Neodiprion lecontei: one gene and its partner. The protein of the gene in region 1 purifies or fractionates together with the protein of each later gene. This does not show direct contact. Links are inferred from orthologs where the notes say so. Each region holds a gene or a part of one and is shown on either strand. Other genes may lie near its edges.

Region 1 (8,425 bases):
CATCGACGCGAGAAACGGTAACTGGTTGCGGAAATTTTGGGCATTTACGGAGAGAGGTATATGCTAAATAATCAATACGTTAATTATAATACATCAACAGTTTATTCCATAACATTTTATTGACATTTAGCCTTGATTAGAGGCAGTGATAAATTTTCCAATATCCAGAAACAAATTGAACCTATCGTGCTTTAAAGTTTTGTGAAATGCTATTTTTATACACATGATTATTTCGAGGAATAAAAGTAGAATGCTATAATTCCATAATTATTAATACAAAAATTATATTACAATAAACTATTTTTCTTCCATTCATAAACTTCGATTGACTGCTGAACTAAAAATCATAAATTTTTTTCCGAAATTTGAAGAAGTCTTTGAACATTATAATCAGTGAAAAGTCATTTTGTTCAAATATTCTATTCAATTTAAACTCATGACAGCAGAAATTAAATATGTCAACTATTTACAATAGCGACAACCACGTTATGATGTATCCATAATTTTTTTTACTAAGTTGAACTTCATATTTCTACTGGGTTCGAAGTAATTATTAAATTGTGCACGCTATATTTCCGAAATTCAAACAAATCGTATTGTTAGGAATCAACATTTGATTACAATGCAGCAGATTCGAGCAATTTTTCATAACACACAAAGGAACTTGCTCTTTTTACTATGGAATGTTTCAAAATTTTGATAATCGTCCCATCTACAGATGGGAAAAAGCTATTATCCGCGATAAAATGAAACAAAATTAGCATAGTGTTGATAAAAGTTCTTGATAATATTGTAATTATTGGTAATTGTCAATACGCAGTCTGCAATGATTCAATCCCGATAGTGAAGTTATTTAGCAAATTGATAAAAGCAAAGTTGCTAATCAATTGTATCACATATACACGGTATAAAAATCTACTTGCATAAGATTGCATCGGTGGTTGATTGATTTCACTCGTAAAAGACACTGCGAGCTGATTATTGAACACAAACTATAAAGTAGTATCAAGTTGGAGAATTCTAAATATAGATTACACTGTTATTTGGGTTCGGGTAATAAAATCTCGCTCATTATCGATGCGACGTGGTAAAATTGCAGACTCTCAGATTTGTGATAAAATTTTTCTATTCACACGTTTCGTCGAATTGTTACACATCATCAAAAGCAGTAAACTCTTTCTGGATATCTATAATCCAGTAAACTCATACTTGTACATTTTTTTTTTATCGGTTTAACCAAGCAGCACCACGAAATAGTGATATTATTTTTCACTACTACTTCCCGGAATATTTTCTTTCCTTTTCTGAGCAATCCATTCCTCTATTTTGTCTTTCAATTCCGTATCCGATTTCACCATATCCATCGTCAACATCGATCGATTGAAGGGATCCGTCTGGTCACTTAACAAGTGTCTAAAAATTTGCGAAGTATTCATGAATCTTTCACATTGCTATTAAATTTCGTAATAACAAAGTTAGGCCATCGATGCAATATGGTTGATTTCAGCTGCGACGAACCTTGCAATAGTTTGGCGATCCACTACAATCTTTGAAGACGGTAAAATGACTGGATCTGTCATTAGCGTGGACATAATCGGGTCTAAAAACTCGTCAGGGGCACCAGAAAGTATTTCTTCCTCTTGTTTTTTCTGATTAGCAGCTTCCTCGACCCGTTTTGCAAACTGGTCAAGATCCCCAAGTATCCCGCCACCTCCGATGCGTACTATTTGATTAGGAGCATTTAGACAATTTTCAGGATAATATTATGTCTTTTATTATCTTCAATACCTACCTAGAACATTTTCCGCGAGTTTGAATAATTCCGGACTGTAGGAACGTCCGTCTTGAGAAACGGCCAGTGTAAAAGCTTCGTTGTGACTCAGGTTTATGTATATCTTGCAGATATTTAAGACCAAATTTGCCGGTTTGAAGTCGTATTCTTTCTGATCCTTGACCTAGTAATAGATCCACTACGTTATACTGAGAAATTGCGTCAATTACGCGTCTCATCTCACCTTAAGATTTTTCTGATTAGGTCCGACTAATTGCAGCAGTAGATAATTGAGCATCGAAGCGATGCGATCGACCATAGTGGGATGACAGAAAATGGATATAATCTCAGAAGTGAGCATTTCCAAAGTGTGTATGGTTTCTCTGCCGAGAATATTGTCAAATCTGGCTATCATACCGATATGTGTCAGATATCCCATCTGTTGCTCTCTTTCGTGCGGCGGAAGTTTATCCCACTCGCCATTTTCTCTGATATTGAATAAATCGCTTGGTCATGTTATAATAAACATCTCCAGATTACTTGCTGCAAAACTTTACGCTCACCTTGCCTGGAATAGTTGCTTGAGTTGTGCCATATTCGAGAGTGCTTCATCGAGGAGAAATACCGCGTCGTTCATAAGTAAATTCATGAATCTGAGAAACAGTGGTGGCTGCACTGCTTCCATGTTTTGTTCAGCCTCTTTAGCCAGTTGCCTGTGCACACATCCCGCATGAATTGACTACATTTTATTCAGTATTATTTTTAAGAGCTCCTCTTTACATTCACACTTACTTGAAATTATTCCTGTGTTCCTGTATTTTCCATAAATAATCCATAACTATGTACATTGGTCGTCGATAGTTAAATTTCTGTTCAAATTGAACGCTCTGACCTGTCATCTCGATTCCCACAAATACTTGGAGCAAATTTGTAACTATCTAAATGAGAAATTACAAGGAGATATTAATCGTCTGTATGGTCATCCAGTTTCACAAGACTTTTCAAAGAAGCGTGCGAAGTGATTTCAAAGTAATAACCAACTTTCCATCCATCCCATTCAAGAATATAATTACGTTGTACTAACCTGATGTCTGTGGGGATGAGTAACAAATAATTGCTCTCTGTGAAAAACTCCCAGCGCAGCTACCGCTTGATTTGAGGGTTCCTCGTTTAAAGGTAAGAGCGCTTCGAGTCCTTCGGCGAGTCTCGCACGAAGGTGAGGGTTATATAAACGCCGTTGAGACTCCATCAGCGCGACGACCTATTTGATTGAATTAAATCACTTTATAAGGTTTTCCAACGGAATATAAAAGCAAAGTTCTTACCTCTGTTAGGATTGGGTTCAAAAAGCTCGGTCCTTGTTCTTCGAACGTGTTTGGATTCAAACGTCGCAAAAAGCAGAGAAATCCGACGGTATTTTCGACCACAAATTCGGGAATGCATCTTAGAGTTTCTGGCACAGTCTCAGGTAGCGGGAACGCGACGGTTTTAAATTCTCTTGGTGCATAAGTACTATGCTTAATGAAATCAGACTCAATATCCAGATTGACCTGTATTAGCCAGACTGCCGTCGCAGCGTGGAATTTTGCCAGTAGACTCAGCATCTCAGGCGCCAAAAGACTAGCTCTAAGCGATAAGTATCTGGAAAATTTAAAATTTTTTATTGACCTGGTCTGAGGGATTCATCTTCCAAGCCCCTGCTTACTTACTCACTTACTTTGTCATTTCCATTTCCATTCGCGTGGTTATAGCCTCTAGTACTTCAGAGTTTCCACCACCCTGAGCATCGCTGTATATCCGCCGCATACGAGCCAAGTCCTGATTTGCTCTGCAAAATAGTAGAGTACTTTGAGCAGGTTGTATTTTGGACAATGATTTTAGCATATAAAGTTTGTTGCACATGTTTAGCACACCTCAAGAGTTTCTCCAAAACAACACGGTATCCGAGATCCAATGCTCTATGAGTCAGGTAAAAACATTCAGTAACAAAACCGAATGTTTCAGCTGCTGGTCGCGTTTCACCTTCGGGTATTGGAATGAGACATGTTTCTCCACTTAAACCTTTGGCGTGAAGACCACGTGTCTTACTTTCTTCTTCATTTTGAGCCTAGGAAAAAGAATGTCCGAATATTAGCTGTGAATTAGACGCGATTCTTAAATATTAACAGAAATTCTTTGAACGGGACTAGCCTACCTCGACCGAACAGTAAGTTGGATCGATTTTCAGCAGTTTGCTATCGTTCAACTTTGTGCAAAAGGGCTGGCAAAGCCTGAGCAATATTGAGCTGAGATTTAACATGAAACCATCGGATACAGTCAGCGTCATAGTCAGTCCAGCATCGCTATGCGAATTCCAGAGCTTTCCTCTCCCAGCGTTGGCATGGAGGCAATCGCCTATCCATTTTAAAGTTTTGTGGCGCACATCTGTGGAACACTTTAGTAAAGTGTGAAAAACTTTATGTAGCGATTCGCTAAGCGCATCCAACGCTGTCCAGATATTTCCTTCCATAGAAGTAACTGACTTTAAACAAGAAAAAGTAATCTGTTATTGAATCGACCATTCGAATTGAAATCGAGTTGCAGCGATAATTGTTTCTTTTTGCTCACCTGTTGCAAAGGTTTGTCAAAGAAGTCAAACGGAGCTTCGAGAGTTTTGGGCAAACAGCTTAGACACAGCAGTGCCCCCAACAGCGTATCTGAATACGCTTTTCCTTGCATAGCACGAGGAGTGCTGTGCGATATGAGAAACAAGGCGAGACCTTCAACAGAAGCAAACGTCTGTAGAAGTCCGAACCAGTATTGTCGAAAAACTAAGAGATTGGACTGTGCCACCTCCTGATGAATGCTGTTCAGGATTGGCGTGAAAGCTGTGCTGATCACACTGAGGCTTTCATCCCTATCCTCGGAGTTTAACTCGTTGACAATGTCTGTTACAAAGGAGGTCAACTCCTGTCCAACTACTCCACCGTCCATAAACAATGCTATAAATTGCTTGTGCACCTGTGAATATAATTTTAAAATGATATACGAAATTAGAATTTCAAGGTGTATAGATTTCAGGTAATAAACAAATCACGAACCTCTTGACTTTGGAATAAGTCAGGTTCCTGCATAGCAGTGCCAACATTCCTGACGACGATTCGTGTGATGTTTTCTATCGTATCGTGCAATCTATGGCTTGGTTTATAGCGCAGTAATCTGCGATAACTTTCGTACAAATAGGGTATAATTTCAGTCTCTGAAACATGATCGTCGATAGAGTTTGTTTGTTTTTCATTTTTATTGTCAACTATTTTGGCTCCTGGATTGCTGAGCATAAGTCGTTCAAAAATAGCGTGCTCAACCGACTCAGCATCCATCCAATCTTGAGGGGCCAAAGCAGCGGCTAAGTCCTCAAGAAAGACCAGCTGTCGTCCAGATTTTATTTTAGCTCCATCCGAATGCAGCGTCAAGCCGAAAACTTCCTCAACTATGTCGTTAATGAAAGCATCAGCTTCGGCTGCTGTGTTGATTGGTTTAGAACCGTTGACGCTGTTACTCTCCGCTGTCGAATGTTCGTCAGTATTTTTTGATACGTCTGCATGGACTGTCGAAGGTTGGTTTTGGGTAGAAAATGAAGCTGCTTCGTTTACGGATGTAAAAAGACCCGCAAACGGATTGTGATTCACATTTTCACACATTGTCGGTGGAGCGATTTTACTATACAGATTACGTTCTAGCTATCATGCTAGGAGTTAAGCTGCAACAGACAGAGATAACGTAATTGTTATCGGAGTATCGTGTGTACAGGATAGATCTTAGGTTATGATGGTTATTTACGTAACATAATGGTGTAATGACTTGAAAATTTTTGTAAACTATTGAGGTGTCTCAGTTACGTTACCTCTATAGACCTCGCGTTGGTGGTGTCAATATTTTTTAAGGTCTTTAATCGTCATTGTCCGATGTTTACCATTTTGACAAATCATTTTTTTGACGTCATAATCCTTAACCCCTGCTACACAAATTATATAGAGATCAGTACTGTCCGTAAACAATTCCTTACCGTTATTAAAAATTCGCACAGAGTGCAGCACGTGTAGCGACTTTTATCAGAGATGAGTAGCGAGATGTGTCATTTCGTATAATTTTATTGTTTGCATCCTTCGGATAAAGCTCACAAAATCGTATCAAAACACTGTTTTATATATATTTGGATACCATGTATGCATGTTTGTATTATATATTATTAATGTATATGCACGTGGTAATAATGACGTTGGGATGGATGTGAACTTAGAACATGATGTGAATTTGAATGTACGTTCGATACCGCTCGAAAAACAAATTTCATCGGTGTGACATTGGCTGCGAGTCGGTTAGTTCGTTTATTCGAATCAGTGACGCCGTCGGTTCGGATGTCGGGAATTCGGCGTGGTCCGATTCTTATAAACTAATTAATAACGCGTAAATCACTTCAATTTATCGTTGTAAGTAATTTCTAAATTCAAAAATAAAGTCGCGAGCACAGAAGGTGGTTGTGTGACGTCACCACTGGCCTGAACTTTCTAGATCGTTCAGTTCTAGATACGATTTCAACGAGCTTGGATGTCTCCCGATGTCGGACGCCGGAATATGTATGAAAATCACGGGATAATCATATTATCGCGGTGAGTTATTGAATATGAACCGATAAAATTCATCTATAGAGTAATTTTCCGTGGCTGGTAAAGTTATTTGTAAACATCCAACAATATTTCACGTGAAAACCGGTCGAAGAAAAAGTTGCAACAACTTGTTGCCCAGTGCTGTGACAGTGCATGACGAATGAAAATTCTTGTTCTTATATTTCGTTCGAAAAATTGGTCCATCGATACCGAATCGACATAAATATCTTAGTATCTGCGTAAATTTGAAGGAATTCGTCAGGTTATTTTGATCAAAGAGTTTTTTTTTTTTACGCGGAAGGTTGTGCCATCGCTGTAGAGGTATAAACGGTGAATAAACAATCAACAAATGACCGTCATGTTGTCAACTTATTGTCGGTAACTAAATACTGTGGCAGTGGTTTCATAAAAGGAAAGATATGTGCAATATAAACGACGTGATCGACGTGATGTGTCGCAGTTTACGTTCAATCGTCGGGTGACATTCAGAGTTGTTTACTACAGGTTCGGTAATTCGGAATATTGCTCTCGCGTTGAGAGCATTAATTGAGTGCGCATTTGAAGATGGTTTATTTTTATTCGTGTGGTAAGAAGTGATGTGCATCTTCGACGTGTTCGTCGGTACTTCGGTTCAGTGAATCGGTGAAATTATTTGTGGCAGCGGGACGAGAGGATTAACGAGGATGTCATCAATACTGCAGTTTGTACATGAAGGTAAAAATATTTTGATGAATATATATTGTGGAATATTCGCAGTATTACGGGAGGGAGAAAAATCAGAAGATTGAAGTTAGTAACGTTATTGCATTGAAAAATTGGGAAAATAATCACTGTTTTCTTGTTAAATTTCAACATAAGAGTATGTTTTGTTTTATTACGGTTTACCAAAAAAAAAAAGTTTGTGAAAAATTGTTACGATAGCGTTACTAACTTCAGCATCGTAAGAAATAATGAAAAATTTCAATAAACCAAAACACGGAGGTGAGTACGCCTGTATATAGGCAATATCCTATCACGTATGGGACAATTGAAAATCGCGCTGCTGCCTGTCCAATAATAGCTCACTTCACGTCGCTACTTATGGAGGGAAGTTTAAAGTATAAATTATATGTCGTTGCGATTTCAACTTGTTTAGTTAATTTCCTATTATGTGTAAATTTGGTAGGTTTCTGGAAATATAATGGGCGAATACAACATTGTAGGGCTAACAATTGCGTTTAATAACAAAAAAAATGACAAGGCACTGTACGGAATTATTTCAGCAGTATGAAATTTTGTACAAAAACATATGACTTAGACTTTTTAATGTAAAGGCACCGTTATGGTTTTTCATCTCCAAGGTTTTCGAACGGTTCCTGCACTCGTACTTCGCTTTATTCCGTGATCTGTGAAAGAATTAAAAAGTGGAATATGAAAATGACAGATATTTATGATATTGTAGTTAATTGATTATGAAAAATTTTGTAAATTCTTACAAATATTTTGAGACCGTTTTTCTCTGGAGTTTGATGTCCATGTTTGACATCTGCTCCTGGCTGAACAAGTGCGACTACTTATAGGAGGAGAGGAAAAATTTCCCATCCTAAAAGTAACCAAGAAGGAAAAATGATTTAGCAAAGAAATTTCTGAAAAACATTTCACTCCAGTAAAGCATTAGATGCATTTCACTTAATAAATCATAATTTCATTTACTTTCATGAAGCGTTTGGTCAGTTTCTGGCAGAAAAATATTATTAGTACACAAAATCGGATCTTGATTATGATTTTGCAATTCTTTGATCGTTTATTATCGAATAATCGAAGAAAAATCTGTGAGAACAAATAGTGAACCATATGAAAAAATAGAGCAAAATATCAGGTAGAATCATACTCCTTCATTTTTTTTCTCGCAAGCGTCCGTTGAGTTGCGAAAGAGTAGGAATGTGCAGAGCTTGGGCGTTCGGAGCGAGATCGTTTGATATCCCGGTCTTGCGATATGACTTGCATCCGCTGTTCGGGGCTTTGCGCG
Region 2 (6,511 bases), on another chromosome or scaffold:
TTTACTGTCAATGCTGTCAATGATACGGGACATTTATGGTTTGCGTATTCCAGTCTGATTTAATTCAATAAATACGACGCTGATAATTCTACTTCTTTGTGTCAAAAAAAATGATAATTACATTGACAAAATTTCAACCGAGTTCGGAATTTAATACTACGTTTGACACACCCTATGACTACAGACACATTTTTTAATCATAAATGTGATCTCGGGAATCTTTTAGCTTTTTTCAAAATTTTATGCCTCGGACTTGGAAATCTGGCCTGCAAATGAGTTTCTTTGCCATTCCTGTTTTTCAGATTTGAACTGCCACAGTTATCACAACTTCCTCTTGGTCAAATGGGCTATCCTCAAGCTCAACAGTGGGTGCAACAAAGGCAGGCTAACATTAGGCCCTGGAGTTTATTCTTGAACACAAATAACATCAGAGCACCTCCAAGTTTTTCTAGGCTTACCAAACGAATTATGAGGAATATTGAGTACTTTCAAAGCAATTACTTATTCGTGTTCCTTGGTCTGGTTATCTATTGTTTGTAAGACATCATGTTTATTATATCTTTATAGAATATTTACAAATTATGTTATTGTTTGAAAGAAATTGGTACGATATTAGCAATGGTAAATAGTATTTTGACCATTTTTTTTACAACGTTTTGTATTTTTATAGAATTACTTCGCCGCTTCTGTTACTCACTGTTGTCTTATCCCTGGGTATTTGCTTCAAAGTTTCCCAACGGCACGCTAAGCAGGAATTAATACTGCTTGGTCACAAGTTAACGCTAGCTCAAGTTTACGGCCTAGTAGCTGCGTGCTCTTTGCCTTTGTTTTATCTTGTTGGCGCAGGAGCTGCTTTATTTTGGGTTTTGGGTAAGTTTTGACACAGTCACATTTAAATACTCCATAAACTAATTACAGAAGAACGAAAACGTAACACTGTATGTAATTTCTAGGGGTTTCATGGTTTTTGATAACCATTCATGCTGCTTTTTATAATATTGACTCGGTGCTATGTCCCGGTGAAGATGAATTGGAAGCACTAACAGTACACGAAGTCTAAGGAACGTTAGTCAATCATAATGGTAATAATAACGATATTTGCGAATATTTTGACGAGAAATTATAAATAATATAAACAGGTGTTCACGACGGATATCAGGACGAAACATCTGTAACAAAAATTTAGTCAATATATTTATATATATAGATTCATAGGCAATCTACACTTATGTAATACATATAGATCTACATAAATATATGAAAAATAAATAATATATATTTTGCTCATGCTGCATGTACTAGTATATCCTACAAAATAAGTGTGAGTTAAAACATGAAAAAATGATAAGACGATACTTCCGAGTCATTTATACCAATTTTTGCTACAATGATGCCTCTCTGCAATGCAACCTTTGTCAAGCAGATAGCAATAAATATTGATATTTGGATAAAACAATATTGTCTCGTTCATTTGTTAAGATGTGTTCTACCGAAATAGGTAAAAAAAAAATTATCTGCATAATATAACGTATATAGGTCATAGAATGTCGTACACGTCGTTAAATGAGTCTCAATTTCAAATCTAACTTTCACTGTGGTGACAGGCTATATATTTTTAACTTGAGATTCAAGTCGGAATAATCAGTTGAATCATTTGAGAGTTTAATTAATTGACATGTACTTCGGTCACATCAGAATAATCCCAAATATTTTTCAGTTTTGCCTGCAATACTAGCTACAACTGTTACATATAACGAATGTTTATTCAATAATCAAAAAAGAAATCACCCGGCAGTAGGTTGGGTAATTTCTTAAAACAATCGTTGTCATTTGTTGGGTAGTTCGATTACAGCGCACCTATCATCAATCCCCAGCAACAGGAAGACAAGTCGTGCACAAAACGCGAAACGTCAACTTGGCACATCAAAATTTCTAGTGTGATTATCAGCCGTCTTTTCGACGTTGCGTCATCAGTGTCAATATTCGCAAAGGAATTCACGTATATTTTTTCAGTGATAATCAAGAATTAGGAAATGAAGTGGTTCGAGGGAAATATTACAGAGGCAGTGGCGGCATCGAAATCGCGAAAGGCGATTTTTGTTGTGTTCGTTGAGGGTTCGTAGTTTGATGTTTAAGGTTATGTCTCTGCTGAATATTTCTTCTCGCATATTTTTCATAAATTTTACTTCTATCGCTTGGCGAATTGCCTCAGATTTGAATGTCTAATCCATTGTCAGCTTAATTCGCAAGTGTACTGTATAATCATTTTGTTGATACAGATGTGTCAACACTTTCACCATATTCGTTCGAATTTTTTTTTGCTTAATCATCGTTATTATATGATTTTTAGAAATTCGTCATACGTTTCTTCCTTTTCTTCGACATACTGCAAAACAATATTGTTACTTCAATACTTCTCATGAAATGCACAACTTCAAGTAATTCAAACTTTATTTTGTTCTCGGCATACATGTAGGAAAAGATGACGCGTCATCGAAAATTGCTAAAGTAATTGACAGTGAAGAAATTTCATCTCGATTAGAGCGGGATGATTTTGTTGCTGTCAAACTAGAGGGAGGCTCAGAATCCTACGGATTCTTTACACAAATTTGTATCCTTTTTTCCTACTACTTCATTTACAGAAACATGAAAATTTTGCTGGACACATGACCTACAATTCATGGATGGAGTTTCAGTTAAAAAGAAGTTTAGCCATTTGACATCAAGTTATATCCACTTAAAGTTATACCTTGACAATGGCATTCAGATCAATTGGTCCCAATTCCATCTATGTTTTTCATCGGCCAAAATGGAACACCAATAGAGATAATAGCTGGGGAAACGAGCGTTGCCGATCTAACATCGAAAATTGATACAATTCTGAAAAAAGCTGATCCAACGTCAAAAGATTCTTCTACAAGCTTTATTCAGGCTGAACAAAAGTCATCGGCAGGTAGCACAAGCTCTCTAAAGAATAGTGAGACAGAAATAAGCGCGATCGATTTAGAAAAAACTGAATCGGGAACAAGCATGGCGCCAATACCTGCCACCTCACAGCAACTTCCAAAAGAGGAAATCAAAATTGATAATGAGGACAAAACTGTAATCCCAGACATTCTTGAAACTGAAATAAAGCCTGCCCCAGCAAAACTGGATTCCCCATCCACCAGTCAAACTGCTACTGAAGCAACTAACAAACCGGAGCTAACAGCAGAAGTAAGAGTGCACATGAAAACATCTTTGAGAATATGTTAATTATTGTTAAAGACACGGTATTGAGATCGATTTTACTGTGAGATACAAATTTCATTGATAGTAGATTCTGTTCGCTTGAAAATATTCTGCGTCAATGTTTTTAGGAAAAGGTTGAACGAGCACGACGACTCATTGAGCTGCAAAAAAGACAGCGAGATGAAGAAGAGGCTAGGAAGGTTCGTGAAAGGGAAATTGAGAGGAGAAAAACTGGGCAAGAAATGCTGAAGATAAAACAGAAACAGCAAGAATTAGAAATAAAGCAGGCCTATGATGAAAGAATGAAAGAAAAGGCAGCTGAAGCTGCTGCCAGGGAAAAAGTCAGGCAGCAAATTATGCAAGACAAGCTTGAACGCAAGCAAAGGGAACTTGATCAGCAGGTTTGTATTCATCTGCTATCCGAAAATTCTCAAGAACGCTGTAGCTGTTAGTATGAAATACATTTTTAGATGTTATCTTTACCTTTCACGTATCCACAGCGGCAGTACGGACAACAAACTCCCATACAGGAACAGCCGAAACCGCGTACACCTCTTTCAAGTGACTCTGGAATCGTGCGAATCCAATTTCGACCACCCAGTGGCAATCCACACATGGGGCAGTTCGAGTCTACAAGTACACTTGGAGCTCTTCGTTCTTATGTTCTCGATAACATCGAGTTACCCTTCAGACAGTTTGCTTTGTCTACATCGTTTCCAAGAAGAGATCTAACAGTCGACGATGATGCCAAAACATTACTTGAATTAGAATTGGTTCCTACAGCTGTGATATTAATTCTGCCGCTAAGAAATGTACGTTCCATCAGCTGTAATTACTATTTTCGAGTGAAATTTAGCAGAGTGGTCAACTTTGGAGTCAAAGATGCATCTCCATACATGTCTTATACGATTATGCAATAAGGTGAAACCATGTTATTGTTTTTCTTGTTTCAGACCAACAGCACGACTGCGGTAACATCAGCCCAGGATGATGGCTACTTGTCGCGGTTAATGTGGGCAATTTTTGCGGGTGTACTTTCTGTGTACGGCTATATAAAGGGATATTTTACCGGACCTCCGGCATCTTCTGCAGAGCACCAAAGTTCTAGTTCAACTTCGGGTGGGGTTCATCCAACTGCCAGCAATACCGATAGTGGCAATTCAGAACCATCTCCAAGTGTAGCAGCTGGGTGAGATTTTAGTGTTGTACAGTATATTTTCTGGTCACTAAACACCAATGATGGGTGGTTCTAGATCAAGAGACACAAAAGTATAATGATAAAAGATGAAAACTTTTTTTTATTACGATTACACCAATTGCGACCAGTCGTTTAAAATTATCTATTTTTTTTTCTACTTGCAGATTACTAAGGCGTAATATTGGTGGTCAAGGAAGTGCAACGATAAGGACACAGGGCAACGTGCATAGATTACACTCGGGTGGTGATCCGGATAATGATGAGAATAACACTTGGAACGGAAACTCTACTCAGCAAATGTGAAAGTTCAAATATCCGTTGAAAAGTCGTCTGAAATTATCATTCGTGAATAATTATACGATTACGTTGTCAGAGGATTAAAACCGGAAGTGATTAGATTGAGGCAAAATCATCAGAAAAAAAAAGAAAAACCAGTTCGATATTTATTTTCACGACTATTTTTTATTGAATCACATTGTAAAACGAACACGTGCTTACCTACATTTTTTCGTAATGAAGTGTAACGAATGTGCAAGAAACAAATTGTCAACAGTTCTTATAGCTCGTTAATAAGCCACACCATGTTTCTTCCGTTGTTGAACAATCGAAGCTTAGTGCTGCTACGAGTATAATTACCATAATTTTTTTCTCTATAATACGGTGATTGGATTCCAAAAACGAAGGCGCAAAAAAACGGCAACAATTCTAACTTAATATTATATCTTATCTATTGTTAACAGATAAACCACATAATAAATAATCATTTACAATTATCGAAATTATTATTGTATGAGAAGTTTTTTTTCCTGTGTTGAAAGAGCTGCATTTGTCATTGCATTACCTTGAAATAACAATTTTACTACAGTTTCTCAAAATATCACAACGTTCTGCCTTCCAGGTATTAATATCCACTACCGTTATTTAGTTCCCCAACTGAATGACCACTTATTATACGTATGATTTCAATGAACTTCATCAATACTTAAGTCGCGACGGTTTGTATTACAGATATTAATGTCAATCAAGCAAATTGAATAATGAAGCAAAGACAAAAATTGCGGCATTATTACATACCTACTCATTATAATATATTCAATACTTTTTGATTCGATACGGATTGATATTAAATTTCTTTGAATTATCATACGATTGGGTGATATTAAAACCAGGCTGAAATTTTCAAGTTCACTAACAGTAGATGCATAACGCCCGTTTGTGGATATATTGGTTTATGTCACTCTCAATATTTGACATTGAAAAAGGATGAAAATGTATTATTATTCAAGGAGTACGAGAATTATTATTTTTATTTCTAAAACTACAATAGTCGTCTAATGTGAAAAATGAAAGTTACGTCAGAAATGTATACATAATTATATATAAATATCTTTATATGTATGTGCGTGTATGCAGAAGCATAATAAAAACGAAAGTAAGGCATATATTATACATACATTCCTATCGTGAAAATTGAAGAAAGAAATTCAATTTAGGTAAGTTGAATTGAAAAAACCAAAAAATTATTCAAATAAATATAAATTATTCAATTAACGCAAAAGAACAATTCTGTTAATTACCGAGAACCATACACCGCAATAATTAAACCTTTTATTAAACCACATACCTCTGTCGGACAGTGTTTTTTCTCTTCGGAAAGAATTGTTACACTACCTAATGTATTCCAGGTGCGGCGCGGGCTGAAATCTGATATCGAATATTTCAAGTGTTTAATAATTTTACGGATAATTGGTGTTTGGGTCGACATGTTTCAAGGGTCAAGCGTCCAGGCAGTAAATCAGATTCTCTAATCACTAGACACTTGCGAGTTAAAGCATGTGCACCCTGCAGTTTCTTCGGTGAACATCTTTTTCGGATCATCTTTCACTGCACTGACTAACCCTGTAGTTTGTTTTCTCAGGGACAGCTATAGTGAGAAAAGCACGGACATCATCTCAGATTTTAAAAATTTTCTCGTATTCGCTAATGATTGTCAGCAGACACGTGGAAAGAAATTTTTTTTAGATCTTACAACACCCCTGGTGAATATAAGGACAGCACTTTTTTTGGAGTTGAATCTACATT

What was found. The genes of interacting proteins can lie anywhere in the genome.
Region 2: the proteins of ubiquitin conjugation factor E4 A (region 1) and UBX domain-containing protein 4 purify together in Homo sapiens (affinity purification with mass spectrometry; 3 studies listed by BioGRID and IntAct, counting the BioPlex papers as one, with this or other methods). This does not show direct contact. The link is inferred for Neodiprion lecontei from reciprocal best matches to the Homo sapiens genes UBE4A and UBXN4.

What each region holds. Positions count from the first base shown.
Region 1 is NC_060264.1:1,777,309-1,785,733, reverse strand, and holds ubiquitin conjugation factor E4 A, read right to left. Parts: upstream 5,811-8,425; 5' UTR 5,655-5,810; intron 5,511-5,654; 5' UTR 5,452-5,510; coding exon 4,852-5,451; intron 4,772-4,851; coding exon 4,379-4,771; intron 4,293-4,378; coding exon 3,966-4,292; intron 3,879-3,965; coding exon 3,685-3,878; intron 3,600-3,684; coding exon 3,489-3,599; intron 3,413-3,488; coding exon 3,097-3,412; intron 3,033-3,096; coding exon 2,856-3,032; intron 2,710-2,855; coding exon 2,564-2,709; intron 2,485-2,563; coding exon 2,335-2,484; intron 2,260-2,334; coding exon 2,016-2,259; intron 1,956-2,015; coding exon 1,793-1,955; intron 1,724-1,792; coding exon 1,519-1,723; intron 1,414-1,518; coding exon 1,263-1,413; 3' UTR 1,177-1,262; downstream 1-1,176. Other genes in the region: uncharacterized protein LOC107220280, read right to left, coding at 7,747-7,802, 7,893-7,999, 8,288-8,425.
Region 2 is NC_060263.1:33,915,353-33,921,863, forward strand, and holds UBX domain-containing protein 4, read left to right. Parts: upstream 1-1,973; 5' UTR 1,974-2,033; coding exon 2,034-2,115; exon of another isoform or gene 2,116-2,116; intron 2,117-2,476; coding exon 2,477-2,611; intron 2,612-2,767; coding exon 2,768-3,216; intron 3,217-3,359; coding exon 3,360-3,632; intron 3,633-3,731; coding exon 3,732-4,043; intron 4,044-4,184; coding exon 4,185-4,420; intron 4,421-4,593; coding exon 4,594-4,732; 3' UTR 4,733-5,208; downstream 5,209-6,511. Other genes in the region: prenylated Rab acceptor protein 1, read left to right, coding at 303-536, 671-870, 954-1,060. UniProt on the Homo sapiens protein: Involved in endoplasmic reticulum-associated protein degradation (ERAD). Acts as a platform to recruit both UBQLN1 and VCP to the ER during ERAD.